4 linked regions of the Drosophila melanogaster genome follow. The protein of the gene in region 1 interacts with the protein of each later gene in a pairwise test. Each region holds a gene or a part of one and is shown in the gene's direction. Other genes may lie near its edges. The genes, in order: spz3, CG13157, CG8927 and CG5386.

Region 1 (10,227 bases):
GATTGGCAGTCAAAATTTGTTAACGACTTAAGGCCACAGCTCGAGAGCCACCTTTCGATAAGGTCTACAAATTGTTGCCGGCGCTGTTTCACTTCTCTTTGACAGACCCCGGGGGCGATTTAATGTCCAGGTCCAGGCGCTAGAAGGAATGTCATTTATAGATCTCGATTCAGTTCGATTTCGCGTCAAATATATTTGATTGTCGAGTGGTTTCGGATTGGATTTTGGAGCCATGGATTCGTTATGCGCCATGTGCCAGCCAACAGCAAAATCCGACCAAGAAGTTTCAATGTCTGTCGCATGAAAAGGGAAAGGCAAAAAAAAAAAATATATAACTAACGCTTAAGTAATTTTTTCGTTTGAACTGATCTATGCGCAAACTTGTTCTGGCCTTATGAAATCGGTTCGGTTCAAATTGCATCTGGGCTTGCAGCGTTTGAAGTGAGAGACTAGGGACGGGCAGGAAGTGCCAGTGTTTTGGATGAATCATTAGCTTCCTCATATGGGAAAAGCTAGAAACAGTTTTAATGGTTCTTCTGGGGAAACGGAAGACAGCCAGGGGTGCCGTGAAGGATAGGAAGTTAATATTTTTGAAATATAAAACGTTTCCGATTTAGACAATTAAAATCCATTCTCTAAATTTGGTATAGATTTGGTGATTTATACACACAGTTTACATTCAAAGTTTTCTTTTAATATGTATAAACATTAAGCCAATTTTTTTATTTTATAGTTCACTTTCCGTCCCTGGCTTTTATGAAAATATGCGATATTTGTTGGGCTTGGTCAGCAGCAACTCCAATAGAACAAAGGCCTGGCTATTAGCCATGGCCATGGTTATGGTTATGACTTGGTCAGCACACAACATTACATTGAGAAAAAATACAAAAATTCAATTCATAAGAAACTTGTTCCTAGAATGCACGTATACCTTATGAAGAAGTACCCCTAATCGAATTAGTAAATTTAAATATGTAAAGGTTTTTCTCAACTTGCCATTTTTCGAAATTCCGTTTATACACTTTTCAATTTTTCAGTTTTTATGTAATTTTTCCAAGTGAACGAGCAGACCAGCAGCTGGCCAAACCCAAGTGTTACAGTTTAAGTGACTTATTTGCATGTAAGAATGCGAAAAAGGAAAAGTGGCTCAAGACACCGCGTGTGACCCTGAAAAGGGGACCAGGGCAAGAGAATCACCCACAGGCCAAGTATATTACCGCATATCCTACATCAGAAAAATTCCCCACTCGTAACTGATTCATCCATCAAACAGGAGACACCATTAAAGGGCGTTTTTCCCAGAAAAAATCATGTCCAAGATAAGATCATAGCACGTTGAGGCTGTTTTATCCATTAGTTGCATCCGTTTCCGGCTGTCTAGATGCTGGGAGCTCCAATTCGCGAGGTGCTAATATGCAAAGTGGACGCATTGATCCGAGATCTATGACGTTGACACGACCACACCTCCATCGCTTAGATGAAATATACACCGAGTCATTCATTCATAGCATCATCGCCGCCATCCATTTGCTCATCGCCCGATGCACTCGACACATTTCAAATTACCGCCGCATAACCCCGTTGCTTCTGCCCTGTGGCCACTGGCCACTGTTTCACCTGGCTAAGAGAGTGTAATATAACCGCAGAGACATGGTCATGGAGATGGGGAGAACCCTACGGAGGGTCTCCCACCAGCCACTCTCTTTGGATGGCAGTCATGTGTGTAACAAATCGACCCGCGATGCTCTTCACAACCAGTTTTGAAAGCCCACTTTAAATATACTTTTGCTTTTCATTGCCTTCGATGAGAAATAAAACAGCGCAGACGTCGTATTCGGTTTGGTTACTGTGATTAATATGCGTTTCTCGGCAAAAGCCACTAAAATGTATATCAGCCCATGACGACGCATCCAGGCATTGACCTAGGTCACTAATGCCAGCTAAACGGGGTTCTCATTAACATCAACCTAATCCCACTTTGAGGGATGCCGTCGGCACCTGTCGAAGAAGATTCCCCCGGTGAAGGTATAGGAAAGGTATACTCAAAATTGTATTTGGCTCCAATCCAGAATTGGATTGATTTCAGAAGTGCACGTAACTTAATTAGTATGCGATTTCCTTTAATTAAGTCACTTCAAAGGAAATTCAGCGCATAAAGTTAAGCGATTTAAAAATCCAAACCAGCTTTTAACTATGCCAGAAGATAAACCCCTTTTCTTAATTAAAACATTAAGCCAAATATAATAAAACACCTTAATGCTGATATGCGGTAACTGTCAACAACTTTAGGTTCACTTTTAAAACCCCTCAGATGATTAAAGTAAATTATTTAAATTTATTGGGTTAGTCCATCAATCATCAACAAAACATTAATATTATGTGATCTATATTATAACTATTCTGCTAATACATTATAGTAATAGTAATGAAAAAATTCGCTTAAACATATTGCTAATAGTGATTCACTAAAATTTATTAGAAACCATAATTAATAGAGAACTTTTCTGTATAACTTGAAAATATGTCAGTTTTTTAATATTTTTGTTTATTTATCTCCGCCTCTAAGAGCATTTGCTCTTCGATTGGCTCAGTATCGAATATTTTCCGGTTTTGTTTTATTTTTCGATTTGCCATTCAGCAGAAACCGAAAAACGAAAGATAAAAACGCAACTCAGTTCGCCGAGCGTTCGCTCTTAGCCAGATTCCGAGATTGAGGGAGCTGAGCGCAATGTTTCAAGTCGGAGATTTTGAGATTTCGAGAGTTGAAACATTTTCCACCCATTAAGTTTGTTTTTAAGGCGCACGGCGAGAACGGCTCAGTCTCGATTGTCAGCTTGTCGTGAATGGTTTTTTAGCACACACGCGGACCGGGGACCGAAGCAAAAAGTTCGCGCTTAAGTTATTTAATAACAACAACATCGTTTGCACATACCTTAATATCGCCATATATATATATAAACGACATAGCCCGCCGATCGACGCGTATGTGTGTGTGTTAATATTCTGTGTTTGCCAGTGTGTGTTTGCCATTGTTGCCAGGGGTGGGAAGCGGGAGCTGATCTGACTGATTTGTTATTTTTGCATAAATCAATTTCGAGAGCGCGCGCCATCGATTTCCGTGCGCTGATCTGTTCTAAATGATGTCGCATGCGCGTCCGGATCGAGTTTGTCGCTTAAGTCTTTCGTTTGCCAACTGAGAGCGCTAGCATATTTCGCACGCCCATGGCTCTGACCAATTTCTCGCTGCCCTTCGGTGCCCTGGGCCAGCCCTGGGGAGTCACCATAGCTCCCCTGCATCCAATCCACCAGTTGGCCAGCAACACAAATAATCTGCTCTACTCGCCAGCTGACCACCAGCAGCAGACTCCCGCGGAGGCAGCCGCCGATCCGGAGTACTTCAAGAACAATCCCTATGCGCCGCCGCAATCGGGTGGTTATCAATATCAAAATACAGCTGGACGACGCAAGCAGAGTAACGCCTATTTGCCACCGACAGCGCCGAATGCTGTCCGGAATTCCGTTTACCACATCCAGCAGGTACAGCAGACGCAGCAGCAGCAAACGCAACAACAACACCAGCAGCAGGATCAGCATGAGAACAGCGTGTCCTTCCAGAGCAGCAGTTCCAGATCAAGTTCGAGCAGCACCACGGGCCAAAGTTCCATCCAGCTGACACAGACTCATGCGAGTGGCCGGGGACCGGCGGAGGGTTCGTACTCCCGTTATCCCGGACAGCAAGCACAGCCGCCGCAGCAGCAGCAACCGCAACAGAAGCAATATTTCAATGCACACGGCAGTGCCAGTGCCACTTTTACTAAGAACAGCGGCAGCTTTAGTATTACCAGCTTTGGCAGCAGGCAGCAGCAGCAGCAGCCACCGCAGCCGCAACAACCACCGCCATCGCAACAGCAGCAACCACCACCTGCACCACCGCCCCAAAGGTCCAGGCAGGCCAAGCCGGAGGCTCAACCAGCTCAGACATACGGAGTTGCCCCGCCGGAGAATTATCCGGAACGAGCACCAGGATTTACACGGGTTCAGGCTGGTCAGGGATCCAGGACTCAGGTACACGCCGTTCTAGACTACGACGTGGAGGAGGGTGAGGAGGATGAGGAGGAGGACGGAGAGGAGGAAGGACAGTTCTACGAAGGCCAAGAGAATGGTGAGTACCCAACTGGATATTTTACTATAAGGTGAAACAAACTAAGGAATTAGAATTTAAAAGAACGAGGTCAGATTTATAATAAAATAGTATACTATTAAATGATTAATTTATCGAAAGGATTTATATGAATTTGCATAACAGCACAGGAAGCTGAGTTCTAAGCTTAAGGAGTGCATTATTTTTAAAATTCTATATGCCAACTTGTTAACCAAGAAACACTTCCAATTGGAATGCCTAACTACCCCACGAATAAGTGACTCAAGCAGACGTTAATTAAATGTATTTAAGTGCATAATAATGTGACAGTATGATCTATGTAGAACTTTGGTTGAAGAGGCCGAGAATCACTTCCTCATTCATCCAAAAGAAATTCTCCGGACTTTGTCGTATCACTCTTCTGAGTACATTCCAGTTCGAGTGTTTCCTGATTCACGGAGATGGCAATCTTAACAATTAACAATTAAAAACGAACCAAATGTTGGTGGCTTAAATTGTTTGCTTTTAGTCAAGTCATATGTGTAGTGTGAATTTAGAGCATGTATGTAGATTCACAGAGATAAGCGGCATAGAGTCCCACGTTTGCACACGATTCGAAAGACGGGCGCTGAAAGTCATGTTAATTTCTGTGGTTTCGCCTGCTACTTGTTTTTGTGTATCTTTCCAATTGAGAGCAACTTCTGCACAAGATCGCCGAGCAACTATAACAAATAACAAACCTGTGGGGTAAACAGCGCACAAGCAACGAGCGGCGACAAGGTCAAAGGTCTACAAACCGATCGGCAAGGTCACTTTCAAGACAGTAATGGCCAGTGTTTGAATTTTATAGCAACTAACAGGCTGGCACGCATCACGATTTATGTTGTGCCGGGGTGTATCTGTATCTAAGACCGTCTATCTAACGGCTCAAGTATCTACGTATCTTCGTATCTGAATCTGCTGCCCTTGTTGTCCTCTTGGAAAACTGTCAGCGGCGCTTCACTTTTTCGGATGTTTCACTTTCGGTCTAGCTTGTGGCGCCTCTTTGTTTCTGCCTCTCCATCTCCATCTCAATCTGAATCTCAATCTGCGAGTTGTCGAGGCATTAGCCAGCCAGCAACCTGCCAGACTTGAGACCTCAAGTACTCAACTCGGTTACGGGGCTATTATGCAAGAAGTCGCGTTTCAATCTCCCGAAATGAGGGGCAAGGGGCCGAGCTCATGAACCAGCTCTCATATGAAGACGTGCGCACGCAAGACCAAAACTCAGATACTAGTTTGGGTCGCTCGATGTCTTGGCGCGGCACTCAAGTACTCAACACTGGGTTTTCACCTTTGTGCAGGCAGAAAAATATCATAAAAGATGCGATCTGAACCAAAGATCAGTGCACAGAAACAAAGAATCTATTTCACAACCTGCCAAAGAATATATCTCATTAGCTGAAAGTGACATGAGATCTGAACACTGCGAGAAAAAAGTATAGAAATCAAGAAAAACGTCATAACATAATAACTAGGATATTTCTTAAATATTATTTTAAATCTGACAAATTTGTTTGGTAAGACATTTTTCCGGTGAGAGCTATAAATTACCTAAATAATTCAAAAGTCATAGCATAATAATAAGGAAACCACTTGTCTAGAACCCTTCAATTCCATTACATTTAGTTTAAGTAACATTTTGAGGAAATAAGTTTTTGCACTGTATGCTCCCTTTTTTGGATTCTGCAACCCGTTTTGCATCCTGCAGTATGGCTATAAAAGGGAAAGTTTCTGTCTGCGCCCAGATCCGGATCTGGGCATTACAAATGCCAGGCAGACATGAAATTTATACATGCAAGTGTCAACTGCAGTGCGATTTGTATGCAGACACCGAGTGCACTTGCAGTTGCAATGGCAGCTCTTTTTGGGTTTAACCGGGCTGATTAATGCAGTGACAACGGCCACGGATACAGCAATTCCCCCGTCCTTGCCATGAATCACCGCCGAAACAGCAGCCATTTAAAAGCACTCCAATTTCCATTTTCACTTCATTTTCGAATCCATTTACATTCCGTTCACAGATAAGTCGAATAACAATCAGATGCCCACAGTGACGCCCATCCAGGGACCGATTTACTTGAAGAACGGGACGGTTCCAGTGGTGCCGCTCTTCTCCTATCCGAAACTCAACAACGGATCGTTCCTACAGATTCCGGTAAGTACGGATCGATAGGTTCGCCGGCATGAGGTTCTAAGCCCGCGCGCACTTTAATTGACACACTGCGGAAAATATAGATCGCAAATAAAAGTAGGAGTCAAAAATCATTTATGAATTTTAAGTAACAAGCAGGCATCACCTATTCTTCCCATTTCTGTTTATATTGAAAATAATAAAAATTTGATTTGGTCTTCGGTGAGTTCTAGTTTTCCCGATTTCCTACAGTGTACTCTCGATATCGATCGAGTTTGTTCATTTGCGGAAATAACTTTGACGATTTTGTGTTTCATTTCGGTTTTATTTTCCTTTTTTTTTTGTTTTTTTGCGCACGAAGGTCGTGCGAGTTCGTTTCATTAAGAGGTGTGATGATGTTGATGACGACGAAAGAAGAGAGAGATTGATATTGAAAATCTTCGCATGGCGACTCGAGTAGGCTTAATCCCAAAATCCAACTCTAAACTGCACCGCCCGCCACGGCTACACCCTTCATATCTTCTTATTTTCGAATATAAAACGAACTTTTATGTTTATGACTTACTTGAGTCATTTTCACACCCCGGCCATAATTTGTTATGGTCGCCATTCCAATCTGAGGCTCAGTACCCCGCCGAAACTCAATTGCCGTCTTCAATGCTAAATAGTTAATACTTATCGCCCGGACTGACCATCGTATATCTCTGGTTAATTTAGATCTGGTGGACGGCTTTGTCGGTGGCTTTGGGACTGGATGTGCGCGGCGATGTCATCAAGGGAGTGCCGTGCATCAAGCGATATCATCAACTGTTTTGCCCCACGGCCGGCAATAGTTATCCCATGTAAGTAACCATTGTTCTCTATTTTTGGGCTGCGGGAAATCCCGAGTGGAAATGGTATATTGGTATTTCCCTTGGAACAGTCGTATAACTTTAACTCTCTTGATTAAGTCAAGGATGTTTGCATTTCTGTGGGTTTCTTCTACCAGTTTTTTTTCCCAATGAAACTGATCTGAATCACATTTAATCCGGATGACTGTTCTAAAATCACATAGTTAACTGTTCTCATTAGCATAGAAACGTAAAATTACCATGAATTTCATCACTAGGCTTAAAGCAAATCCAAAAAGTGTGACTTTCAACGATATTCATTCCAAAGTTCATTAACATTGGGTCCCAACATTTTGCGCTAAGAAGATATTAATTTCTTTTAATTAATAATATCATTTTCTTAATTAAAGATAAATTTTAATTACTATTTACCGTGGGTTTTGACCTCATTTCATCTGCTTTACGGACCCTCTCAAATCAATTAATTTTTCTCAAATGAGTATTTATGATCAATCTTTTTAGTGAATCACCTGATTTGGCAAAGTATTTTGTATTTTAATTTTAAATACGGTCACTTCCTTTGTTATTATAAAAATAAATTCATTAAATACGTCATTTTACGGCGTACACCTGGAAGAAATAAATAACATTAAGTTCTTTTAAATACTTAATCAATTATTTTATACAAAGCTAAACTACCTGCTTATTTTTAGTGACAAGATTGAACGTTTCATAGACGACAACAAGGCCCTGATGCGACGGATGTACGGCGACTTTGAGATGAACATGGAGGGTCCTGGCGGAGGAGGTGGCAGACAACAAGGCAAGGTGCGAAAGCGTCGCTTCATAGACGAGCCGGATATATTCATACCCCCGGGAGCATTTGCTGCCAATGCCGGGGAGACCGTCGAAGCCGGAGATAGTTACTTTGGCCAACTCCGGAAAAAGCGCCAAGCTGCCGCCGGAGGAAGTCGAAATAGAGGCGGATCTGCCGGAGGAAGTGGCAATGGGAACACGAATGCCAATAGGCAACCGGGAAATAAGAATGGTAGTTCGGGCACTGGAAGACTCGATGCCTGCGAGTCGAAGATTGAAATTGTCACACCGTACTGGGCATCGAACTCCGCGGGTAAGATCAGAGCCATCGTAAATACTCAGCATTTCGAGCAGGCGATTCACCAGGAGGTTTGCAGGTTAGTACACTGTTAACTAAATAGTAAACAAAACGAATAATGAAATGATTTTTTTTTTTACTATTTGTAGCAATACCCAAACTCCAAGATGTGAGGGCGAGTGTGGATGCGAGCAGAAATACAAATGGCATAGATTACTCGCCTACGATCCTGATAACGATTGCAAGGGCATTTTTATGGATTGGTTCCTGTTTCCTTCGTGCTGTGTCTGTAGATGTAATCCCTAGATTACCTGACTCTGAGCAATTAATACATAAACAATTGATAAATGTAATTGAGACAAGTAATTGTAGGTAGAATGCCACTGAATGTATTTTAGTTGTTGTTAAGTAGACCTTACGTAAGCCCTAATCGGTAGCTCTAATTATGAACAATTCTACACATAGTTAAGATTTTATCCGAGCCATATGTATATCTCCACTATTCTCTATATCCCCTCCATCAACATGCGATATTACTCAGCCTCCATTTTTATTGTACGGTAATTATAAACGTAATTGTAAAACGATTCAAGTGAATAAAGTCTATGCAAATATTAAATATGAAATTTGGGACTGGGAACACTGTATTATAGCATTTCAATTAGCACATAGTCTAGAATATCACGCGTGCATCTAAGGTTTTTAGCTTGGGATAACTAATTTGGTAGCCCTGTTTGGGATATACTAAATTGTAAAGATAAATCTTTGGTTTCTATTTGACTGTAAATTATTTAAAAATGCTTAAGGCAAAGTCCATTAGGATTACTGTTCAGAGAAGGAATTGTATCTACTAAAACATATCTACTAGGACATAGAAACAACACAAAGTTACTTAAATTATAGCCTTGCTTAATAATTGGTAATAATTGGTAATAATCGGTTGGCAGAATGTAAAGCAATAAAATCGGTAACAATTACCTTAATCTTGCTATGGTGGAAACAATGTCAGGTGGTCAGTTAAATCATGATTTATTATATTGCCATAAGACTGAAGGGGAAACCCCAAAACAATTATTGACTGTTTGATAAATTTCAACAATAGAGTTGCTAAAATTGGAATGCTTCAGTTAAGTCAGAGTGTATGCAAACAATAGAAAAAACTTAGAAAAATAATTAAAAAAATAGTTATTTTGCATCGGCCGGGAATCGAACCCGGGCCGCCCGCGTGGCAGGCGAGCATTCTACCACTGAACCACCGATGCTTGATGTCTACACACACTCAAAGCCCCAGTATTTACGTCATATTTCGATGAGACAAAAGTAGAGCTTTCAAGAGCTTTCAGCCTAGGGCAAGTCAAAGTAAATTTCATTCACTGCTCTCAGTCCGGAAGTCATGAGTTCAATTCCCACATAGGATGAATTGATTATTTCATATTTTGAGTAATTGTTTTTCCTTTTTTTTTCTGAATTTATAACACACCCAAAACGCAATGGGCATTCACAATTGGCTTGCTTTCATAAAGCGTTTACATGCGGAGGGCCATAAATTAACCAGCAGATGAGTGGTGGCGGAGGGTGGGTATGAATGAGCATATTGCTACTAGTATTCCTCATCCCATCGGCGTCGTAAAAACCCTTGCCCTGCCCGAAACTGGCCCACTTCCCATGCCCGTCACGTATTCAATCACAGCAATGGCTACACAAAACTGCGCTATATCAAAAATTTCGGTCTATCGGTCGTGCGTGGTATTCAAATGGTCCATTTCACCGACACCACAGCACAGACAGCCATAGCCAGCCGCACATATCCCAGCAGCGCGGAGGAAGACCATAACAATTGAGTGCTGGGCTCCAGTTAACGTTAACCAAAGTCGTAGCACCAAGGACTGGGGCATTTATTGACGCCCGCAATGTCAACAATTGCAGCCATGACGACGGCAGTCCCAACAGCAACTACTAACAGCAACAG
Region 2 (6,927 bases), on another chromosome or scaffold:
GAACTTGTTATTTCAATAAAGTATCCCAAGATTAGGGCATGAGAAAAAGGGAAAAGGTCAGAAGCTATTAAAATTAAACATTTTTAGAGCTGATTTTGCTTTGCGAAAAGAAATAATTTGTTTTTTACTGTGTGCGCATTTGCAATTTTTTCGTTTTTTTTTCATTATATAATAATGACGGTATCAAATTTTACAAAAGGCGAACACAAATTATTAATCCAAAATTATTATGGAATGTTAGCTTTATCCTTATAGTTTGTCATAGTTCTGGATTCCTTTTAAAATCATACTGCCTCAGCCTCTGAAAAAGCCTCAAACGAGAGCGACAGTGAATTGTTTTTTTTTTTACGATTTTAGCATTTAAGCGTCGTCGAGCCTACGAACAACAATTACCGATCGGTCGGATCAGACAGCTAACAAAAAATAAGAGCTTCCATGGCAAATTCCACTTCCACTCCCATCCCCTCCCATCTTCATCGGCAACTGCAACTGCATATCCATCTGCAACTTCATCTCCATTAGAAACTCCATCACCAGCAGAAATAGCAAATGCACGCTCTCCCATGGAGGCTCACCTGTGTGGGTATGGACACGAGTGCAACAGGAGGATCGGATCGGGTCGGAGCAGAGCGAATCGCCTATATAAGACCAAAATAGGGCCGCGCTTGGCACAGTGTCTAACGGAGCTGCTTTCACTAGCCAGTGCGATCAGTGCCAGCCAAACGGGCGACAAAGCGGGCCAAATCAGTGGAATACAGTGGATAAGCGGCAGAGACTCCTTGCGAAATGAAAGTGCTCGTAAGTGGTTCACATAACCAATCACATAAAATCGGTCAAGTGATTCTCGATGAATGATTGGCAAACATTGCAACAGTTCGATCTTCTCAAATATAAAATTTATTGGTTTACATTACATCTAAAGGATAGGATTAAATATTCTTTTTTGTGATTACTTTGTTTGGAAATCGTAATGACTTGCATGTGTTAGTAAGCTTAAGCTAATATTTATCCTTTCAGATACTTCTTGTGCTGTTGGCCATTTCCTGCCAAGGACAACACCACCATCAACATCAGCACCAAAATGTGAACAACATACCACGCGATGACAAACCAGATCATCATCGTCATGAAGATCACAGAGAGACCAGCACCTGGATACCCATAATCAAGTACAACAAGGAGCAGAGTGACGATGGAAGCTACAAGACAGAATACGAGACGGGCAATAGCATCATTCATGAGGAAACCGGTTTCCTCAAGGACTTCGACACCAATCCAAATGGGGTGTTGGTTCAGCATGGCCAGTACTCCTACCAATCCCCCGAGGGAACTCTGGTCAATGTGCAGTACACGGCCGACGAGAATGGATTCAGGGCCACAGGTGATCACATTCCTACTCCGCCGGCTATTCCCGAGGAGATACAGAAGGGTTTGGATCAGATCTACGCTGGCATTAAACTGCAGCAGGAGCGTCTGGAGCAGAGGGCCAAGACAGATCCAGACTTTGCGAGGAAACTGGAGGAGCGACGCGTGGCCAACCAGAATGGCCAGTACATCGGTCTGCTGGAGAACCAATAGACGAGCTCCGCCCATTCCATTCCCCCACCGAACCGATGATCCTGGAAACGTAACTTCTTCGCATTCTATATCAACAACAACAAGACTGTGATTTCATTCTGCAAGCTCTTCCAAATCCAAATCGCTGTACCACACTGAATGATAATCGTTTAATAACTTTTGAATTTCCCACTAAGTACCATAAAACCAACAGACAGGGGCGCTCAATCAAATTAATAATATTTTATTAACGAGTGTGAAAGTTTCGCTGCTTTGAAACAATAAAAGTAAACTAACGTTTCCATTATGCCGAACCGACTTGATGATGGACTTACCATATTTTCTGGCATTATTTTTTTCCGTTTTACAGCTGACCATATCCACGATGTTCAGACAAACGTGACAAAGCGTTTATGGGTCCTCATTATTTTCTCAAAGTATTTCCCCATTTACCGTGCATCTTTCGTTGCTTTATTATTTACTTCGCAGATCGAATTACGTTAGTTTGTTGATCCCATTCCATGCAGGTTGGGTTTTCCAATTTTCCATATTTCTACATCGCCGCCATGGAAATTTTCTTTCGAGAGGAGTCTCTCGACTGGTTGCCAGTTGCATAATTACGACAGATTTTCCAGTGCCATTCGACTTGTCTTCGCGGGCAGGCGTTGCATGTGGAAAGGCTGAGGAAGCCAGTTGAAGTGGTCCACGAATGGGTTACTGGCGTAGCCCCGATTTCGCGCCGAGAAACCTCTTCGTTCTGCCAATTATTGTATTTAACGTAGGCTACCTTTACCGTTTGGCATTTCGAATGGAGTAGCCCTTGGCTACGCAAATATTGAAACCAAAAACCACTGTCATCAGGTTGAAAGAACAAACAACCGAATAACCTTTTGGGCCACAAAACGGCAAACGATTTGGCCACCTAACATATTTGCATATAACGTAAACACACTGACTATACTCTGCGGTTATTTCTAGCTGAATATAAATCAAATCCGCTGCATTTTCACCACCGCCGTAGAAACAGACCCCGAAAGCGGGGCCCCGAAGAATGTTTATTCGCCATTAAGTTTCAACGCTCTTGCGCATAATTAAGACGAAAAAAAAACCATATAATAACGAAGCCGAACAAAGGAAAATTTCTATGGCCCGTGATTAGAAAGAATCTTTCTTGTGGGCCTGTGCGGTGCTGGAATTGATTTGGCCAACTCAGTTGCCGTTTACAAGCCGTCGCGTGCAGATCGCAAATCGCCAGCAAAAGAGATACTTCCTCTACAATATACAATATCTATAAGAAAGCTGAAGATCGAATTCGCAAGAGCGTTACACCGAAAACTGGTAGCGATAATACAAATATTTGTTTGTGGGGAGTGAAAAGAAATGGGGAAGTGAAGTGGTTGATCGACAGAAAAGTGAAGATGTGAAGAACTGTAGATGTGAATATTACATTGACATCGAAGCAACGTCAAAGAAAAAATAGCAGAAGCCAAAAATTAAACAATAGATTGTTATTGTGGCTGCTGAAAACGAGAATGAATCAATAAACCTATAAAAACGAACTGTAAAATTGAAAAGTAGCACAGCATCTGCAAAAAAAGAAGATAGACGTGTTCAATTTAAATATGGTTAGTCATTGGAAAGAGTGTCTACTGTGGTCGCTGATAGCCCTCAGTGGCTGCCAGCTAATTGCCACACAGCAGCTGCAGGGTCCTCCCCGTCCCAGGGGGCGTATACGCATTGCGGATATGCAAAATCCCGTTTCAGTCGGCGGAGCACCTGCTCAGGCATTGGGAAACTGGCCAATTGTGCCGGCTGCAGGCCCCATCAGTTCCACTGTGCACACCCACATTCCACTGTGGCGCGAGGAGACCGCCCCCCTGCCGGCCACGCCCAGTCAGGAGGCGGTGGTGTACGGCAACTGGAAGCCAGAGCATCCGGAGAGGCCCGAGAAGGTGGACACGAAAATCGATTCGGAACCGCAGCCCAAGGAGCGGGTCTACGGACGCCTGGAAGCCATGCTCATGGGATTGCCGGCAGATGGTAAGAATTCAACTTCGAATGTGAATTTCCTATTAATATAAGTATCATTAAAAACAAGCAAACGCTGCTAGAATTTAATGAAACTAAAGTCTGCTTAGTCTTTTATTTAATAGGTTAAATATATTTTCAATAACCTGAATTATTAATCTCTAATGTTATTGATTTATATTAATGATAACTATATTGAAACCTAAACATCTTTTTAAAAAGATCTTCATGTAGCGTTTAATTTGGTCTCTGTTTCGAAATTGTTTGCTCATGTCTCAAATACTTCTATGCCGCAGCTATTGATGCCAAGCCATCAAGTTCCAGCGAAGAGCTGTCCGCTCCTATTGCCCCTGGTGGCTACCAGAATCCTGCCTATTCCCGACCAGTCAGTCGTGAAAGTTCAGCAGAGAAATATGGACGCCGGCGCATCAGTACTCAGCAGGTGCCACAACAATTCGAGTTGGCCAGGGTCAACGATTCGGAACCCATATTGAAGGCAATATCCAAGCAGATCAACGAGTCCGTGGAGACGACGACGGACAATCGAAGGAATTCCAAGAATTCCGCCGACGACAACTGGTTGCCCCTGCCGTATCCGTATCCTTACGATACCACAATGCCAGCTCCACCTGCAACGAGCTCCGTGGTACCAGGATTTATGCAATCCTCGGTGGTGCATCCACCGGTTCCCACACAGCCCACTAGATCCACTGCGGGTCTATTGAATTGGCCCACTGATTTCATCGATAGCACATCCCTTACGGTGAGCACCGAAAGGATAGATGGGAGCATTCAGGGGAGCATTGACCGGCGCGACGAGAGCGTCTCTGATCCTGTGGACGAATACAAGTACTACGAGGATTCTCTAAACTCCGCCCAGATGCACAGCGAACTGAGTGTTCCAGAGACCGTGCCGCTGAATATAACCCGGGTGGGCATTCCTTACGAGGATCGAAATGCCTCTGAGGAGCCAACCATATGTGTGCCTCTCACCGTCTCGGAAACTTCGCTTTCCTCCGACAGCATTGTGCCCCAGTTGGTGGAGGTCGAAAGGGTCTACTGCTTCCCCCTTCCCAAGGTGGAGATACGTCCTGGTCATGCTCGTCCGCAGGTAGAACAGGTGACGAGGCAGCAGGAGATACTAGATGCAGATATGGATATACAGCCAACCCAAGTGGCTATACCGAGTGATTCCGGCGCCGGATCCCCGCAAAGATCACTTGGCACGCTCGCGGTGCTCCTCGTTATTGCTTGGAGCTTCCGGCGAGAAAATAGTATTTAAATTTAGTATCACTTGACCTTAACACAACTCAGGGGCTATTCGCTAATTACACTTACTTAACAATTAAACCTAAGCCAACCCATACAATTCACTTCAGCTGTTTTTTTATTTTGGGTGGAAATTGATGGGTCATCAACTTGTTTATCTCTAAGAAGAATATATTTTTCATATATTTCAATGAATTTAGAATAACTCTCTAATCTACCTTTTTTCGTATCCTACCTTTAGTCGATTAGTCGAAGGCGTAAACAAAAGCTGATAACGACCTGCACTTATGTAGATAATGAATTCTTAAGCATTCCTTATCTCTATGGATTTTTTGATTAACAATTTCATTCATAGAAAAATACTATTCGTTGTAGAACTGTAATGAAATAATTATATAACTAGGTAGGACATCCAGTCGAGGTGTAAAGATAACCCATCCAAAAATGCAGTAAATTGAATCTAATCGAATGCATATCATGCTTACTACGAATTGTTCGTATCTAATCAGTCAAGCGTCAGAGTGTATGGAATCAATCAAAATTTATTTTTATATACATAATGTATTTATTGGATTGGATCATATCAGATGATGCCTAACTGTGAAAGCCAGCATTGCATCAAAGTAACGACATTATTATCAATTGTAGAAACCTTTGCAAAAAGAATCTCCTAGAACCGGAAAGTAGGGAAAATATTTAACAGCTTTAGATTTTAGTATAATATATACATATATTCCAGACTAATTTTTAAGCTTACCAGAAGCCTAACCAAACTATGATTACATTTATTTATGACAGCCACATTCTCACCCAAGTGAAATTGTTTTAAAAGGGAAAGAACTTTCAAATTTATGGGTTGGCTGCCGGGCTCTGAGCAATAGAGTGTCCTTGTAAAGTGACAATAAGTGCGCCCTTCCTGTTAATCAGTACAAAGTTCGAAAAGTAGTAAGCAATGCTGTTATTAAAACAGCCAATATTCTTTAATGTTCAGAAATTATTTATTTCTTGTTATTAATTCTTAACCCTACATGGGCTGATACTGGCAATAGTTATTTTTGAAAACGAAATGTACAGGACATTGTCTGATAATTTCATACGAGGATGCCATTCCCAGTCCAACCATCAAAAGCATTAGCTTCAAACCGGAATATTGGCTGATAAGCATTGTAAAGTTGGATTTGATAATGTTGAAAGGAAGCTCAAGTAAACACGTTCACTGTGTTATATCGCACTAATCACTAAATCACTGAGTCTCAAATTTTACAATTTATAGCAGTTTCGAAAGACGCTTTTAATTTAAAACAGTCAGCTTAACACACCTACTAAACTGAAATATATTCCTCTCGTCGCAAAAACTATTAAATATTATTTTATTATTTTTTTAAGTACTATTCAGTTTTTCAACACCCTATTATTGTGCAAATCACATCATGAAATGGCTAAAGTTGGCTATTAAAGAAAAGCAATAAATAAATAATATCATTGTCCTAGAACCAGGCACACCTTTTAATATAATTCCCATATATTTATTCCAGACAAGTAAGGTGTATCTGATAGTCAGGGAAATGGACTATAGCATTCTCTCTTGTTTTTAATCTACAATATAACAATTTTGTACAGCAAAATTCTCATTTGACACTATAAGTTAATTTTTAATTTTACCAGGAGGGTTACTGAAATCTTATTTCACAGACCCCTTTTTCGCATTGAAATCCTCTCGCGCCAACCGACGAAGTGTCTTTCCATTGGGATTGGCTGGTAGTTTATCCGTAAACTGGACACCAGCATGGAGCTGCTTTTGAATGGAGGGAAGTCTCTTTGCCACATGATCCGCAATCTCCACGGCGTTAATTGAGGAACCATTACGCTTCACCACCAGTGCACCAGCAGCATCGCCCTGCTGCTCATCATAGATGCTGATGCTTAGAGCTTTCCTTTCCAGCTGAAATCAAAAGTACTTCTGGCCGTCTGAGCAAGCATAGATCGTATTTATCAAAAACTTCAAGTAACATAAGACCAGCACCATCTGCCCCAGGCTCCATATCTCATGTTATCTCAGGTGGTTCGGTAATT
Region 3 (9,991 bases), on another chromosome or scaffold:
GCTACCGACAGTGCTGGCACTTTGAGTTCTCCGACGTGGATGGATCGGCCAAGACCCTGGTGCAGGAATTTGATCTGGTTTGCGGACGCGATATCCTCAGCTTGGTGGAAACCTGCTTCCTGGTGGGCGCGGCAGCGGGAGCGGTTCTCAGCGGATGGATATCGGATCGCTTCGGCAGAAGACACACTCTAATGGCATTCGTCACTATTCAGAGCGTATTTGGTGAGTAATGCCTATTGTAAACATATGGGATATTCTTAATTCGTGTTTCTAAAATAATATTTGATTACCACAAGAATGCTAAGAACTTGAAAAAATTCTTTAAAACGTATAATCGCGTAGATCCCTTTTTTGCAAGTGCAGATTATAGAAGTGAAATTGCAACAGTCCGATTAAAGGGCTGGAAGGACGAGTGTTCCTTTGACCATGACAATTTGAGTGGGATTCATTTTCTAATTGTCATTTATATGCAGCTTTGTCCGTGAATCGTTGGACTAACAGCTGCATTTGCGTTCGCATTTGTCCTGCTCTCTGGCCCGGCTGCGATTTTAATTGACTTTACACTCTTATTTACGTGCCCGACCTTGCCACTGACATTCCGCACCCAACCCACCCCACCCCTTGGGCCAACCCTTTTTGGCCACCGCCTGCATGGGTTCTCTGCTCTCCGTTGCAGGTGGAATTTTGGCCTTCTCAACATCGGTGGCCATGTTCATGTCGCTACGTGTTATAATTGGATTCGCATCAATGACCGTGACTGTTGTGAGCTTCGTGCTGGTGGTGGAGCTGGTCTCCGGCAAGTGGCGCACCGTAATCGGCATTCTCAACATTCTGCCCGTGGCCATCTCCTACGTCCTCTCCGCCGGACTGGCCTACCTCATCCGCGACTGGCGGCACCTCCAGCTGGCCATCTCCTGGCCATGGCTAATCATGCTCAGCATTTGGTAAGTTCTGCGCGGGCATCCTGGGTGGGGCAGTGCCATTGTTGGGCGTTTATTTGGTAATTGGAAAATCGGCTGAAGGGAAATCGAGGTCTCTTTATGCATTTTGCTTTGAGCTCTGATTTGTATCAATGGCTAAATGATATTTATTTACGAAATTTGTTTATTAATTAAACTCATGTATTTCCTTCCTGTAATTAACAAGTCATTTTATTATTATTAGCCATATTTTAAAGACATTTTTACATAATTCATGACCTTTAATTTTTTCTATTCTATTTTCTATACAAATCAATATAAATAACAGTGCTACTTTAAAGGCAAAAAAAAAAACTTAAATCTATTAAAAATCCGCTTACTGGAGAATTGAAAGCCCAAATGAACGCATTTCAACTTCAAAGCGTAAACATTTTTAGCAGTCAGTCAACTAAATGAATTGACAAGATAAAACCGTACACAACACACAATTGGTCGGATCAATTAGATTCCGGCAGGGACAAAGAAACCGTGTCCAGGACATTCCTCAGTGTTTATCCTCGGGTGCCAAGCAGGCCACAGAGAGCCACATTAGCTGACCGCCTTAGAAATGAAATGAAAAAATTCCTAAAAGCCAATAAATACCGGGATCATGACATTGATTCTCACAGCAACCCTACCCATTCGCTCCCATTCCTTTTTAGGTTCTGGCTGCCGGAGTCTCCACGCTGGCTTTTGGCCCAGGGCCGGCTGGACGAGCTGTGCGGGCTAATTGAGCGAGCGGCCCGAATGAATGGCACCAGCGCCAGTTTGCCCAGCAACTATCGCAAGACCCTCGAGGCGGCTGTACCGCGGGCGGTCCAATCTCCACCAGAAGCAACGACCAGCGTAGAGTCGAAGGCAGTGGAGGCAGATGCACCGGATCCAAGTGCAAGTGGCCATGTGAATCCCCTTCTGGTGGTATTCAGTGCAAAGTACTGGCGCACCACATGTTTAACCCTGGTCATCTGGCTGACACTGATCATCATTTACTTTGGACTCACGTTGCACCTCAGCAATTTGGGTGGCAATATCTACATCAATAGTGCCGTGGCTGGAACCGTGGAGGCCATCTCCATTTGCATTAGCATCCTGGTGGTCTTGAAAGTGGGAATCCGACGTAGTCTTATTGGTTACATGTTGTTGCCGGGTCTTTGCTGCTTAGCCACCAATTTGGTGTCAAATCAAACGGGTGTGATTGCACTGGCCACCATAGGTAAGTTGTACCCTAACATCTTTGACAACAACAATCTGTAAATGACCTAGTGTCACCCAGCCAAGTGTCTCATTGGAGCCAACAACGCCATCATTCCCACCTACACAGCGATGCAATATCCCACAATAGTTCGAAACTTTGGCGTTGGCATGGGCAACCTGGCATCGGGCATTGCCCTAATCCTTGTTCCCTTTCTCTGGAAACTGGTGGGTCCTCAAATCGTTTACCTGTGTGGTCTTCATTTTACCAATCTGATTTCCCCTCTTCACAGGAGCACATTGATCCCCTGCTGCCCTTGAATGTTATGGGAGTTTGTGGCCTGATTGGCGCCGTTGCCATCAGCCTTATGAAGGATGTGGTCTAACCAAGAGCTGCAATAGGAATTGGTATTTTAAAAGAAATCAGAGCTGATTTTCCGTTTTGACATGCCTAACTGTGATATTTATTGGACCTTTGGGGACATTGCGCACCCACACTAAATCGTTTCTTCTCATTCCACCATTAACACGGATTTTATATTGTTGATACATGATTTTATTTATACCTTCATTGCATTAAAAACAAAGTATTTTTATTAAATGCTAAATTAATTTGTATTTTGTAGTACTGGGTGTTTCGGAATATAAAAACAATATAAAAGGTTATAAACGATTAATTCTTTAAAGATCTAAATAAAACGTTCCTATAAAGAGATGCTATAATACGGCGGGTTTGAAGCCTGTCTAACTGTAGCACTTAGCCGATGCATCAACCATTGCGCATACGCTCCGTTGGTATGACTTTAGTTTGGTTGGTCTTAACTTAAAGCTTGGTGTCAAGCGTTGCCAGCGCACTGAATAATAAATACAAAACCGTTAAAGGCGGTAAAAGTAATTTAAAACTATATCACGTTCCCGGAGCTGTTCGAGACCAACCATTCTCATGTCCACAAAAGAGTGCAAAAAAAGTAAATACCAGACTGCCCTGTCACTTTCGTTACTTCATCGAGAGATGCGCTCCACTTTTGGCCCGGCCATTAATTGCATATCCATGCCAAACACACGCCGCACATAAATTTTCCGCTGCTGGCCAAAGCTCCGATTGGCGTTGGAGCTGGAGCTATAAAGCCGCCTGCGCACCTGGCGTGCCCAGCATTTCAGTGATCAACGGTTGGCCAAAAAGTACTACCTAGGTTTACCGTGTGGATAAAATTATTCTCCCCAAATAGTGCCTTCTTTTCGCTTTGCGGAAGTGTTACAAAGGGACAGGAAAGTTAAAAGGAGATTACCCGTCCAGATCAACCATGAAGATCCAACTAATTGCGGTAAGTTGGAAACCAGAGGAAGGATCAAAAGTGTTAGTGTTCTCGGTCATGTCACCACCTCAGCATGTTAGTGAATCATAAATATGCAGCTGTCAAGGTCGTTTGGTTGCCAGCTTAAGGCTCATACTCGATCTTAGATTGAGACATTGCTGGATATTTACGAGTATTTGCATTTAATAGAAAGTGCGCGAGTTGTGTTTACCTTTACCTGTGTCTCAATGCAATGCAATTAGCAATTAATGCTGGCCAATTGACATTTCATTTCGTTTGGCATCATAAAACTTAAGATCGATTTGAACAAAGGAACTCGTATCATAAATAGGCGATACAATCACCCAGATATTGTGTTTTCACTGTTTGCCAAAGAATTCCGTTTGAGGAATTACCAAACCAAGCCCTCGGGTCTGAAATTTTAACGAGCATTTGTTGGCTTAAAGCCCAGCTCCGCCTTAACTTTGCAAAATTCCCCCGGCCTCCATTATTAACCTGAATATTGGGCTCTCAAAATGGGCACACAATTGGCTTAAGTTTAATTTGTTATGCTGTCAAAGATTATCAAAGATCTTTGCTACCGCGCAAAGTTGATGAATTGTCAATTAGGTGATAGATAAATTATATTACTTGCGATACAATAAACAAAATCAATCAAAATAAGCTGGCGATGGAAGCCATTCCATAATATAACTTGCTATTCACAAAAAATTTAAGGTTAATTTTTAAGCTATAGACTGAGCTTTGCAAACGTCAAGTAAATAAAAACGACAAACTATAAATAAAAATAGGTGTTCCGAAAATACCAGATATAAAAAATTATAACTTTGTATATAAATATCAATTTTAAATGAAACTTCTATATCGACTATTTCCCTAAATTTCCGAAATAAATCTGGAAAACACCATAAATCAGCGGTTCCAATTAGATTTTCATGCTTTTGCTTGATTGATTGATTGACTTGGCCAAATTACGGACATGGCCTAATGAGCTTGCCAAAATTTGGACCAGAAAATGAATTGTTAATGACAAGAAAGACATAATTTACAGGAGTATTGTTTGGGAGCAGTTCGTCACGATACCATTTTTGTGCTAGCCCCGATTATGTGTATCAAGGTCGTTGGTGGTGCCGCAGCTAATAACTAGTTATGGGCGATTGGGATCCACAAAACGCACCCAAGGCGATGCAAATTCTCGGCACGCACGCTCCATTCATTTTTCAGTGGCTGTCGCTGCTGCAGATTCAGATTCAGATACAGCTACAGCTACAGATACAGATACTTGCCCACACTGCGACGCATTTGGGCGTACTGTGCTGGGATTACGTAATGGACGGGTATATGGGAATATATGTATGCCTGCATAAATAAGGCTTTTATACATGCATAAAGTGTTACATATTTGAGACCGAAGCCGGCTCGAAAGTGCACTGACAACTATTCCAGCGCAACGAGTCCAGCGAGCTACAAAAAAAAAATGCCCGGTCGGAATAGGACATATTTTCGATTTCATTCGGCTGCTCATTCGATTCGTTCGTTCGGTCAATGGCCATTGGACAGTCAAGGCCGGGACAGAAGTCCTTAGCCAAGTTATTGTTACTAATGATGAACCCACGGGAGTGGGGGGTCCGCATAATAAACATCTTTTGTTGTCTTTCACTGATGCTTACGACGATGATGATGGTGATGGTTCGCCAAAGGAACACCCACGTTTGCCTTCAGCTCCACCTGGGCTTGGCTTGACTTCACCTGGCTGGGTTTCAATTTGGGTCTCGAGCTGGGAACACCTTCCACTACGAACATTTATTTACACATGGCTACGAAATTTTCGGTTTCCTTGAACTGAGACGCAGACGCAAGGCGGAGTCATAAAAGCAATTAAATCAAATCAAGTTCCCCTGCCGAGCAATGCACCCAAAATAAATAGCTGCAAGTGTCTACCAGGCCTTGCGCAGTTTTATACACTTATACAATTTTTTTTTTGCTTTATCTGGCCTGGCTTTTATTAATTTTTAAGCCAAGTAGTTCACTTGACCAGGTAGTTGGGCAGCCAGCCAAGCCGCTGGCCACTGGAATGTTCGGCTTGAATGGCTGAATGGTTCCCCCACACACACACACACACATCAAACGATCAAAAAACAAAGCCGTAGCTCAGATACAGGAAAGTAATGGATAATAATAGTAAAAAATGTGTCGACTGCATGCATAACAAAATCTGCATGAGCCGAAGGCTTCATTGATTCGATTGATTATTATAAGCCGTAATAGTTATTTATGTTTGAACAATTGAATTATGTGCGAGAGTTAAGATTAAAACTGGGTTTATAGGTACTAGGAAATAGTTACTTAATAACTAACTTAATGGAATACTAGTTTTATAAGGAGCAGTCATATATGAACTTGATTTTATTTAAAAAGTTCTTGTCCACTAAAATGAATTCTAAATAAATCAAAACAAATAAAGCAACAAAAGTTTTGAAAGAATAATAATTCCACAAAAAAAAAAAACATCATTTCAATAAATAACCCTACTCAAGTTTCCAATCCTGTCAAGAACCCAAATGGAAACCGTAATTCCGTATCGAGTTTTATTCACTTCCCCAATCATTAATTCTTTTATATAAGCTACCTCGCCCAAGTGGGCCAAATTGTTATCTGATCTGTGACCAGATGGAAACCGAAACCGAGGGCGAAAAGCCATAAGCCGGCTAAAAATGCCCCTCCACCCGGTCTCACAATTATGCAACTACGGCGAATACTAATTAAAAGTTGTCGCACTGAAAATCGTGCTAGCATTAAGTATACGACTAAGCGGTCGGTCATTTGTCCTAGACTTTGACTTCTTTCGCGAACCGGAAACTTTTGGCCAATGTGCTTGCCACATGCTACATGCCGCATAACTCCGTCCATGCAAATTACGCAACCCAGACGCCAAAGTCTGAAATGTTTTCGTTTTTTTCTGCTTTTGGCTATGGCTCAGCTTGTTTTGGCTTTGGTTTCGGCTTTTATGATCGATCGGCAGCGAGGCGGGGCAGAAATCGCGATTTGTTTTATGTTCCACATTTACAGCCATTACACAGTACTGCCACAGTTGTTGTTGCTGCTGCTGCTGCTGTGGTTGTTGCCACCGCCACACCGTTACAACTACAAATTGCTGCGGCAGTTGTTCATAAGCGGTTGATAAATTTGAAACCAGTTTACGAAGGTGCGAGTTGTGCAGTTAGCCAAGAAGTGCCACAAAAGTCAGGCTGCAAGTGTGGTGCTTTTTACGAACCCCGAATTCGATTTAATTAGTAGTGCTAAAGACAAAGTTTGAGAAATGTTTGGAATATACATATTGTATATATATACATATACATATATGTCAATGAAAATAAGGCTACAGCCAAAAATAACTAACAATAATAAAAGCAATTTTTAAAGAGAAATGTATTACTTCTTGTAATGCACATACGTATCCTTCAAATTCCATAATTGTTTTTGGTCTTCTTGTGAACTCATTGACCAATTGGGTTTTAACTGAATGTACCAAATTCTTTGCTGTTTTCCACCCCCAAATCGGATGAAAATTCTAAGAAACCGTTGGACAAGCAGCATGCCAAAAATGAGCGTGTAAAACTAATTTCTTAAGAGGGGCAGTGCCAAAAGCGAATCAACAGTTAGTGGCAACGCGGTGGCCAAAGCGGTGGGAACGCCTTGTTCCGGCAACTGGCACAGTTGATCCCCATTTGGAATGCACTAATGACATACATTTTTCCCTTCCGATTCCAGCTCGTTTGCAGCGCGATCGCGTTGACAGAGGCCCAAAACTATCCCCCGCGTCTGAGCATTCCCGGAGCGGTAGCATCACCTGGTCAAGTGCCCCACCGACAGCCTGTGTTGAGAGTACGCCGTCCAGGAGCCTCATTGCGCCAGCAGAATACCATACTTCCAGCGGTGACGCAGCGCATCGCCATTGAGGAACCGCGTCCTGTGACGGAATCAGCGGAGGATGAGCAGCCGGAGCCATATCTGCCGAACCTTCTGCGGGAACAGCAGTTGGCTCAGGCCCAACAATCACAGTTCCAGCAGGCAGCAGCCGCCTTCCTGGCCGGCCAACAACCCGTTGAACAACCCTCGCCGGTGCAGCAGTTCCTTCAGTCCGATGACTCACAGCCGGCTGCCATCCTGCCTCCTCCTTCCTCGCGCTTCCCCGCTGAACGGCCATCTATTCCGACGCCCCTGAACCGTCCCGCCGCCTTCAATGATTTTGGCATTGGTCGGTTTGAGAACTCGCAGAGATTCGGATTGGAGCGACCTACGCCCACTGCAGCAGCGCCACCACCACCGCAACAACAGCCCCAGCGGGTGGCTGTGATCCGAACAAGACCAGCGTCTTCCGCTGCCCTACGACCTGAATCACCACCACCACAGCCTATGGCCAGGCCACGCCCTAAGCCTGTCCAGCCGCGTCCCATCATTGATCAAAATCAGCTACAGGACGATCACGTTGACCAGCAGCAGCAGCGTCGCCGTCAGCCCGTTTCCCAGACCATTCGCAAGTGGCGTGAGGAAAACGAGGACGGAAGCATCACATGGGGCTATGAGAACGACGACGGATCTTTCAAGGAGGAGCTGATCGGCACCGATTGCATCACCAAGTGAGTAAAACAGATTGAATCCAACCTCTTTCTCCCACTTACCCAAACTTCTCGTTCACCAGGGGAACCTATGGCTACGTTGATCCAGATGGCAACAAACGTGAGTACCACTATGAGACTGGAATCAAGTGCGATCCTAACAACCGCAACAACGAGGAAGAGCTACAAGAGAACGGGTTCGTCAACTACGAAGAGAATCGCGCCGTGCTGCCCAATGGTCTGGAGATCGACATGACGCAGTTGGGCAAGAAGAAGTCGAAGCGCCCGAACGGCTTTTACAGGAACTGATACTCCCCACAACATATAGTCCCTTAAGTCAAGCAGCTCGTAGTTCGTCTTACTTGTATTCCACTTATAATTATGTTCATACTCCATTGAGTGTCAAGTGAAAGATTAAAATGATTAGAATAGATGAAAGTGAAGAATCAGTACGGACGCTGGCGCCTGGCGGTTGGCGGCAGTCGGTTGGGCGGAGTAATCGAGATGTCCAGAAAGTCTCCAATGCTGAATTTGGCCTGAGCAAGTGTCTTATTATCATCGATTCCTTTTTGACCCGTGCAGGTCACTCCGATTTCGCGCATCTGGAAGTGATTACTCCGGAAGTTGGGGTACACGACAGCAAAGTCAAAGTAGGTGCCCTTCTTCCGGGTGTCCGGATTGACGTCTCGCACCAGAGAGGTCAGTTCGTGCAGGGTGGCGTCTTGCCAGGTGTAAATCTGAAGCTCGTTGGTGGGCACGTTGCCGAACATATACTCCGACACGGAGTGGTGTCGTCCCGTAGAGCAGAAGACACGGAGCAGCATAGGACAGGTCTGGAAAATACATAAACTTATTAACACATCTAGAGCAAACGCGAAGTAAACATGACCGGGGTCACAAACAAACCTTCTCGCGGTCAATCTGCTTGACCTGCGTCTTTTCCTCCACAATCATAGATTCCACGTTGGCCATGTCTCCCTATTCTGCGGTATATCGTTACTAATTTTCTTAATTTTAATACAAAATGCACTTTTAATGCCGTATATTCCGGCTTCTCTTTGCTCTTTTCGATAACTATATAATCGAATGCAGCAATCCTATCGCACATCGCCGAGTGTGACCGCTTGTCGCATACTTATCGGGTTTTAGTTTAATCGATGTTTCCAGAAGCACCAAAATTCGCCGTTTCTCAGCTCTAGTCCGAAAACAAAATTCGCTGTGAGCGGTTGTGTCGTCGAACGTGAAACTACGCGTCTCCGCGAATGACGCAGACTGGAAGCTTCCACTGGCATGACAATCGTCTAAAAACATTCAACAATAGCGGTGCACTTGCAAATTACTGTTGCCGCAACAACAATAACAACTGCTTCGCTAAGCAGTAGCTGCGACCACAACAACAAGGAGGAGAGCAACAACAACGGTGGAGAAGAGCCGTTTGTTATTGGCGCATAAAAGCAGAATCGCAATTTGGCCACTGAATAGTTTCTAAAAACGGTGAGTACATTGTGGCAGCGGTCCATTTGCATACCGAATTGAGATTTGCACTTTTTGCAAGAGTTTCTTATGTAACGGCAACAGCAGCAGCAGCAGCAGCTGAGTTTTACGTGCAAATTGTTGCCGTTGCTTTGCTTGTGTTGGTGCCGCAGCGTCTGCGAAAAGTCACCCTCTTTGCAACCACCCTTCACCCCCCCTCATATTTCATTTATGCATCGCTCTCTCGCTCGATTTGTTTATAAACATTCAGGAATAAGCCGCTGCTAAATACTGAACTGTTTTTATCTCAAGAAGTACAAGGTTATCCCATCCCCAGCCACCCACTTTCGATCTCCTCATTTTTATGCATGCGCCATCATTTGCCGATAATAGTGCCATTCTGTTTGTTGTTCTAAATGTTCTAGTTATTGCA
Region 4 (5,860 bases), on another chromosome or scaffold:
GCCTGCCCCAGAGAGGGGGTGTGGCAGGCAGGGAGGGGGGAAACTGGAAAAAATGGTGAAAAATTTGTAACCGAGGCGTTTTGTTTGCTCTCGTTTGCTTTGGTCACGGATACCAGACTGCCAGTCAAGTCAAGTAAACATGATGTGCGGGGTCTAATTTTTTCCCCTTTCTTTTTTATATACATATATATTTATATGTATTTTTTAACTTCTGGCAGCCAGTCAACCCAGCCGGGGGTACCCCCTTTTCGCCAGCGCTGTCTGTGAGCTATATGGTTGCACAATATTTTACATTTTCATGCATGACGCGTTTAATCACGTGATGCATATGATTTTTAGCCAGCCCAGGGGTTATGGGCACTGGAGTCTGGGATTTTGGGGGCGCTCCTCATATATTCATGCATACAATTCCATCAGCATGAATTATGTTTTGCATACTTTCAGCCTGAGTTTGTGCGAGCTTTGCTTGTTTTGCGTTTAGGTCTTTGGCGCTGTCTGGCGCATTCTTGCAGCCCTTGATGCCCTCGGCAGTTGCCTTTCATCTCTGCCTGGGAGATCCTACTCGTCAGAGGGTTTTCTGGATTCTGGCCCCTTTTTTTTCCACACTTTTCGGTGGTGTGGGCCCACTCAAAAGTTGTGGATTAGAGCGTGTAATTTTACTAAAAAGCGCCAACGAGCCGCACTTCACACACATGCAAACAGTTGGGTTTGACAGGATAGGAGCTGCGAAAGTGAATTTTGTTTAATATATTTTAAGTTATACAGAACGTACATACTCAGTGTCAATCAAAGATTAAAAGTCTAAATGAGTATATATTGCATAAATTGTTAAATTGGATTAGAATCTTTAAAGAAGTTCAAACTATTCGTTTGAACCCGTTTTTCTTCCCTCTGCTGTGTGGCTGCAAAGAGGTGGATTCCCGGGTGAGCGGTTGTTGCCATATTTTAAGTGTTTTCTGGTTTTTCGGCCACTGTGCACGGTGCTTTTAATTCCTATGGCGGCGCTCGCCTGTAATTTATGTGCTTAACTTTCACACTCGGCTGGCTAAAACAGTCACCGAAAAATCGTCATAAAAATAGAAAATATATATATATATGAACACTCTCGTACTCGGCCATTTCACACTTTTGCGCCTTTCGGCCGAAAAGCGGTGGAAAATGAAAGCGAAGCCACAAGGACAACGGCTAAATGCGGAGGAGGACGAATACATTCCAGTGAATATTTATGAGCAACCAAAGTAGCATTTGTGCTTTACATTCCGACTTTATTGTGGCCATCGTTGCTGAAGTCCAGCCAGTTGTTGTTGCCTCTGTGTGCAACAGTCCCGTCCATCGTTGAAATTCAGGCCGCCCTTTGTGGCTGCCATTGCTTCACTGGAATAAATATTCAAATTGTATGTAATAGTTTATACTACTACTCTATTCTATGAACTCGCATTTGATCATCTACTTAGGTTTTAATATATCAAATATTTCGATAGAAACTATCTTGTTTATTATGATGTTCAACTGATATTTTAATTAAGTTGCTTTTTACTGTGTAATGTTGGCGCTGCTCTTGTTGCTGTTGCCGTCCTCTCATCTCTGTCAGCTTTTCCGACTCTGATGAGTTTATGCTTGGAGCACATATTACTTTATTCCAGAGTGTGCCTAGGCCCCTGGCCACGCCCCCCGCCCATGTGGTTTTGGCCCACCAACACAGGCACATGCACACAGTCGGCCATTCATGACTGTCATGAGTTTTCCGCAATTGATGGTCTAATTATGCCGCCAACACTAAATTTCATGACTTTGCTGGTCGACGAAGGCCGCCGATGATGAGGGGGTAGAGGGGAGGGGGTATTTTCCGAGAAGGGGAATTGTAATTTAATGGAAAAACATTTTGCCACACATCCACGGAGAGCGGAAAATGGGAGCTGAAGCCAAGGGCCACTTTACAGTTTGACAGTCACTGCCAGACGGTTGACATTTTAGCTTGGATTTATGGCCACCTCTTTGAAATGGCTCGTATGTTAATGCAACAGTTTGAGAAGCGTAGTTTTATGGATTTGAGTTTAAGAGCCCTTTTTGTTGAAAGCACATAATCATATAACTTATGGAGGCATTTACAGCAGCTGAAAGGCAGCTTATTATAAAAAACATATTTCTTATTAAAGCTAAAATATTAAACTTTACCAATAAGAAGTAAACTATTTAGATGAATAAATGTATTCTAATCAATTTAAGAGAGGTATAACGTTACTATTTAGTTTCTATTAGCTTATTTTTACTATTTGATTAAGCCAATTAGCTAGTCATATTTTTTGTAGCCGGCTAATTGAGATCCACTCAATCGAGAACCGCTGTCGGGCCTCCAGTTGGATCTGTAAAGCCGAACTGGTAATTATCATACCGAAACCAATGGGGCACATCAAAATGTTCACACTTCATAATATTTGCATATTAATGTGCATGTATAATTAGCTTCGAAATAATTAATGCCCGAAAACAAGAAACCTAATCGAATGCCTAGGCAAAAGCAAGCATCTCCCAATTAGAATCCATGGCATCGGAGAATATTTGATGTGTGAAGTTAGTTAGCCGGAGTTAGTTCTCACCGAGAGTTTCGAGTGGAAGGTCTCTGGCACTAATAAGTCTTTAAATATGTATCCAAATTGGCTCGTTCTGCTCCACTTGCCGCTGGTTTGTTTGGGAGTTGTTTCGCAAACATTTGCACAGCCGCTGACAAAGTAGGTCGTGTGAATGTGCTGGAATGAATCTCGCCCAGTGTGTGGGTGGTGGTTAGCGGGTCAATCTATTGAGCAAACTATTTGCTTACAGGCACCACAACACCGGCATCCTGAGCATCAATCGGGCGGAGGGACAGAAGATTGAGGAAGCCGCGCTCCAGCAGCATCTGCAACAAATCACGGGCAGCGAAGCGTTGGCGCCATTGTTGCACGAGTTACTGGGCCAAACTGTGCCAAATTGGCAGCAGCCACAGCAGCAGCAGAAACATCAGCAGCCACGGCAGCAGCAGCAGCAACACTACCAACAACAGCAACCAAAATGGCAGCAACAACAGGCCACAAATCAACCGCAACAGGAACAGGGGCAACACTTTTTTGTTTATGAAAACGCCGCGGGTCAACCACCTCAAATATTGGCCGGGTTCAATGGCGTCAATGTGCAACCTGAACAACCAGGCCAGCAACTGCGTCTCCAGCCAAAGCCAATTCAGACGGCACAACAATATGGAGGAGTCGGGCCAAAAGTCGTTAAGGCGCCGCCAGCCGCAGCTGCAGCCGTTTGGGCGCCACGAGTCGAGAGCCACCCGCCGTAAGTAAACACTGAAAACTACCAACTTATATAATCCATTATTTGCATTAAACAATGCATTTTAATTAGCCCATACCCATCTGCGGCAACTGCAGCGCCAGCAAGTTGCCAACTCGGCAGGAATCCGTCGGAAGTTGCCGCTCCTGCCAGCCCCAAAGCCACGCCCCCCGCGCTATGTCCGCCTCCTTCGGGTGGCCAGGAGACGATCCCCTTGCTCAGTGCTGCGGCGCTCAAGGCGACAGCTGGTTAAGTTTTTAATTAAATCGCTGGCATAATTAATAAAGATGCGCATAGAGAGTCGGGCAAAGTGTTGCATACTTTTGGGGCGGCCGATCGCATGGGTGTATTGGTTGCCGTGCACATGTGTGTGTGTGTACTCAATATTCATTCATGTGAGAGCAGCAGCTGTGTCAGTTACTGCAAAAAAAGTGAACTGGCTTTTTTGAAAATATCTTTATTAAATTCGAGGATTTTGAATAACCTTGAATAAACAGATGTAACAGATTCTAGATTTTTCTAGAATTTTTTTTTCTAATCCGTAACCAGATTTGGCTTCCAATCTCCCAAAGCCCAGAAAGAACTCGAACAATACGTATGAGACTTATTTGTCAGCGTGCCTGCTCCGGCCTAGCAGGACCTCCGCCCACCAGGACTCGTTTCGAGCTGTCACCGAACTCAGCATAAAAGTAAAACATTCAACTAAAAACAATTTCTAAAAATATATGTGTACGAATATAAAACATGCAACACGAAAAAACCGCACAAAACACTTCACGTTGAGTGCGACTCGCAAATTGTGGGGCGTCTGTGTGAGTGAGCTGCACCACCGACACCAACAGCACCACCGCAGAAAAGAAGCAAAATAATAAATAAAAATCCGCAAAATGTATGTGTGGCGGAGCGTTGAGTCTGCGGCGGAGTGTTTTTCGCAAGTGTTTGAGCGGGAAAAATGAAAGTGCTGAAGTGTCGCCCATTGTTTGTCCTGTCAACTCAACGAAGCCGCAAGAAGTTGATGACCGGAATAGTTGGGGGATGGGCTCAAAAGCAGGTCTATAATCTAAAGGAAGATCTTTGGGACATTCCTTGGTATCGAAACAATAAGAGTGGCGGGTAAACTGAAGGGACGCTTTTGGTGTCTAACTAAAATTTTAATATACTTACTAAAATAGGACATATACTCTCAAAGAAAGTTACCCAGCAATCTATTCGCTAGAAGTCGAAAATTGTTCTCAGCATACATATCTGGTTTAAAAATGTGTATTTGTTAATATCAAAGTAAGTCTTCCAAATCTGAAGTTCGCAGTAGGTCCTGGCAGTCAAAACTGAAATTGAATTGGATGTGGTTGTGACTCCGACCCTCTGACGTCTTGCAGATGTGAGTAAACTGGCATACGGATGACTCCTTTGTTGTCATCGGCACTTTGGTACACACTTTATAGAGCTCCATTCGAAGGCTCTAATTTCATGCGCGCATAATCAGGGAGCGTGGCTAATTAAATTCTAAACATTCGCCAGCATGAGCGCACTAAAAAATGTTTTATATGACTAGAGTCTCGAGCCCCATCCAGTGTTTCCCCATCTCTTCGTGAAATCTAACCCCATCCCATACCATTCCATACCATACCCATTCCATTCCAAGCCAGCCTTCATTCCAATCTCGAGCTGGTGCTTTGTAATTGCAGATCCCGGACTTCGTACACGCCCCTATGCAAATGGCATAAAGCTGATGATGCTGTTGTTGCCGCTATTACACTGAAAGAAACTTCAAAAGTAAGATTTAAAATGCAATAGAAAGTTCTCAGTTCAAATGCGTTTTTCTATTGGATTAAGTTCTCCAGTTTCAGTTGCTTTTGCGTGGACATTTTTTTTCGGGCTTGTTGTAGTTTTGTCTCACTACATTTTTTCCAGTGCTGTTGCTGCTGCTTCGGCTCCGTGTTGTTCTCTTTGTGCCCATCTGCAACCTAATCTCATCTCGCGCTGACGGCTTTTGAACTGCCTTCGTTTGTTGTCGTTGTCGTACTCTAAATTAACCGTTTCGTTACGTCAGCGCTGTCTTTTGTGCGTTGACAGAAGCGATTGTTGTTGTTGTTGTTACTGCTGCTGCTACAGCCACTGCCAAGCGAATCCTGTAGTCCCGTAGCAGAGTCCTGTTTAGTTGCAAGTTTGTATGAGGCAGCCGTGCGTGCCCGGTCGCCTGGCAATTGGAGCAATCAGCCAGCTGAACTCAGCCCGGCTCTTCAGCTTTTTGGCCCATTTGCAGTTCCAGACAACCCATTCCAGCTTCAAATCCCACTTTCAGACCCAATCCTATACACAAGCCCAATGGCAGTGCCCCAGCACTCAGCACAGCTCGGAGACAGTTGGCTTTGTCTTGTCAGCTGGGTCCTGGCACTGTCCTGATTGGCATTCACAATTAGCGAGCGGGTAAATAGAGAGATGCTGCAAGAATGTTCCAAGTCCGGGTGTCTAATATAAAGAAAAGCTATTTTTGGGGGATCGCGAACTAGCCCTTTTATTGTAGAGGATCACAAACGCTCCTATT

What was found.
Region 2: the proteins of spz3 (region 1) and CG13157 interact in a two-hybrid assay, tested with the Drosophila melanogaster proteins (one large-scale study listed by BioGRID).
Region 3: the proteins of spz3 (region 1) and CG8927 interact in a two-hybrid assay, tested with the Drosophila melanogaster proteins (one large-scale study listed by BioGRID).
Region 4: the proteins of spz3 (region 1) and CG5386 interact in a two-hybrid assay, tested with the Drosophila melanogaster proteins (one large-scale study listed by BioGRID).

What each region holds. Positions count from the first base shown.
Region 1 is NT_033779.5:7,872,142-7,882,368, reverse strand, and holds spz3 (spatzle 3), read left to right. Parts: upstream 1-2,816; 5' UTR 2,817-3,222; coding exon 3,223-4,162; intron 4,163-6,204; coding exon 6,205-6,338; intron 6,339-7,031; coding exon 7,032-7,156; intron 7,157-7,857; coding exon 7,858-8,337; intron 8,338-8,407; coding exon 8,408-8,564; 3' UTR 8,565-8,874; downstream 8,875-10,227. UniProt on the Drosophila melanogaster protein: Neurotrophin which may function as a ligand to the Toll-related receptor Tollo. Involved in a Tollo and JNK signaling pathway that positively regulates neuromuscular junction (NMJ) growth in presynaptic motorneurons.
Region 2 is NT_033778.4:12,413,276-12,420,202, forward strand, and holds CG13157 (uncharacterized protein), read left to right. Parts: upstream 1-2,768; 5' UTR 2,769-3,179; coding exon 3,180-3,597; intron 3,598-3,881; coding exon 3,882-4,867; 3' UTR 4,868-4,956; downstream 4,957-6,927. Other genes in the region: Cpr49Ah (cuticular protein 49Ah), read left to right, coding at 787-798, 1,018-1,578; CG42782 (uncharacterized protein), read right to left, coding at 5,879-6,019.
Region 3 is NT_033777.3:16,177,721-16,187,711, forward strand, and holds CG8927 (uncharacterized protein), read left to right. Parts: upstream 1-3,299; 5' UTR 3,300-3,454; coding exon 3,455-3,475; intron 3,476-7,237; coding exon 7,238-8,106; coding exon of another isoform or gene 8,107-8,110; exon of another isoform or gene 8,111-8,168; coding exon 8,169-8,394; 3' UTR 8,395-8,515; downstream 8,516-9,991. Other genes in the region: CG8925 (uncharacterized protein), read left to right, coding at 1-222, 677-944, 1,622-2,172, 2,233-2,378, 2,444-2,536; Bin1 (bicoid interacting protein 1), read right to left, coding at 8,532-8,918, 8,992-9,057.
Region 4 is NT_033777.3:22,338,998-22,344,857, reverse strand, and holds CG5386 (uncharacterized protein), read left to right. Parts: upstream 1-2,606; 5' UTR 2,607-2,643; coding exon 2,644-2,729; intron 2,730-2,820; coding exon 2,821-3,318; intron 3,319-3,387; coding exon 3,388-3,568; 3' UTR 3,569-3,622; downstream 3,623-5,860.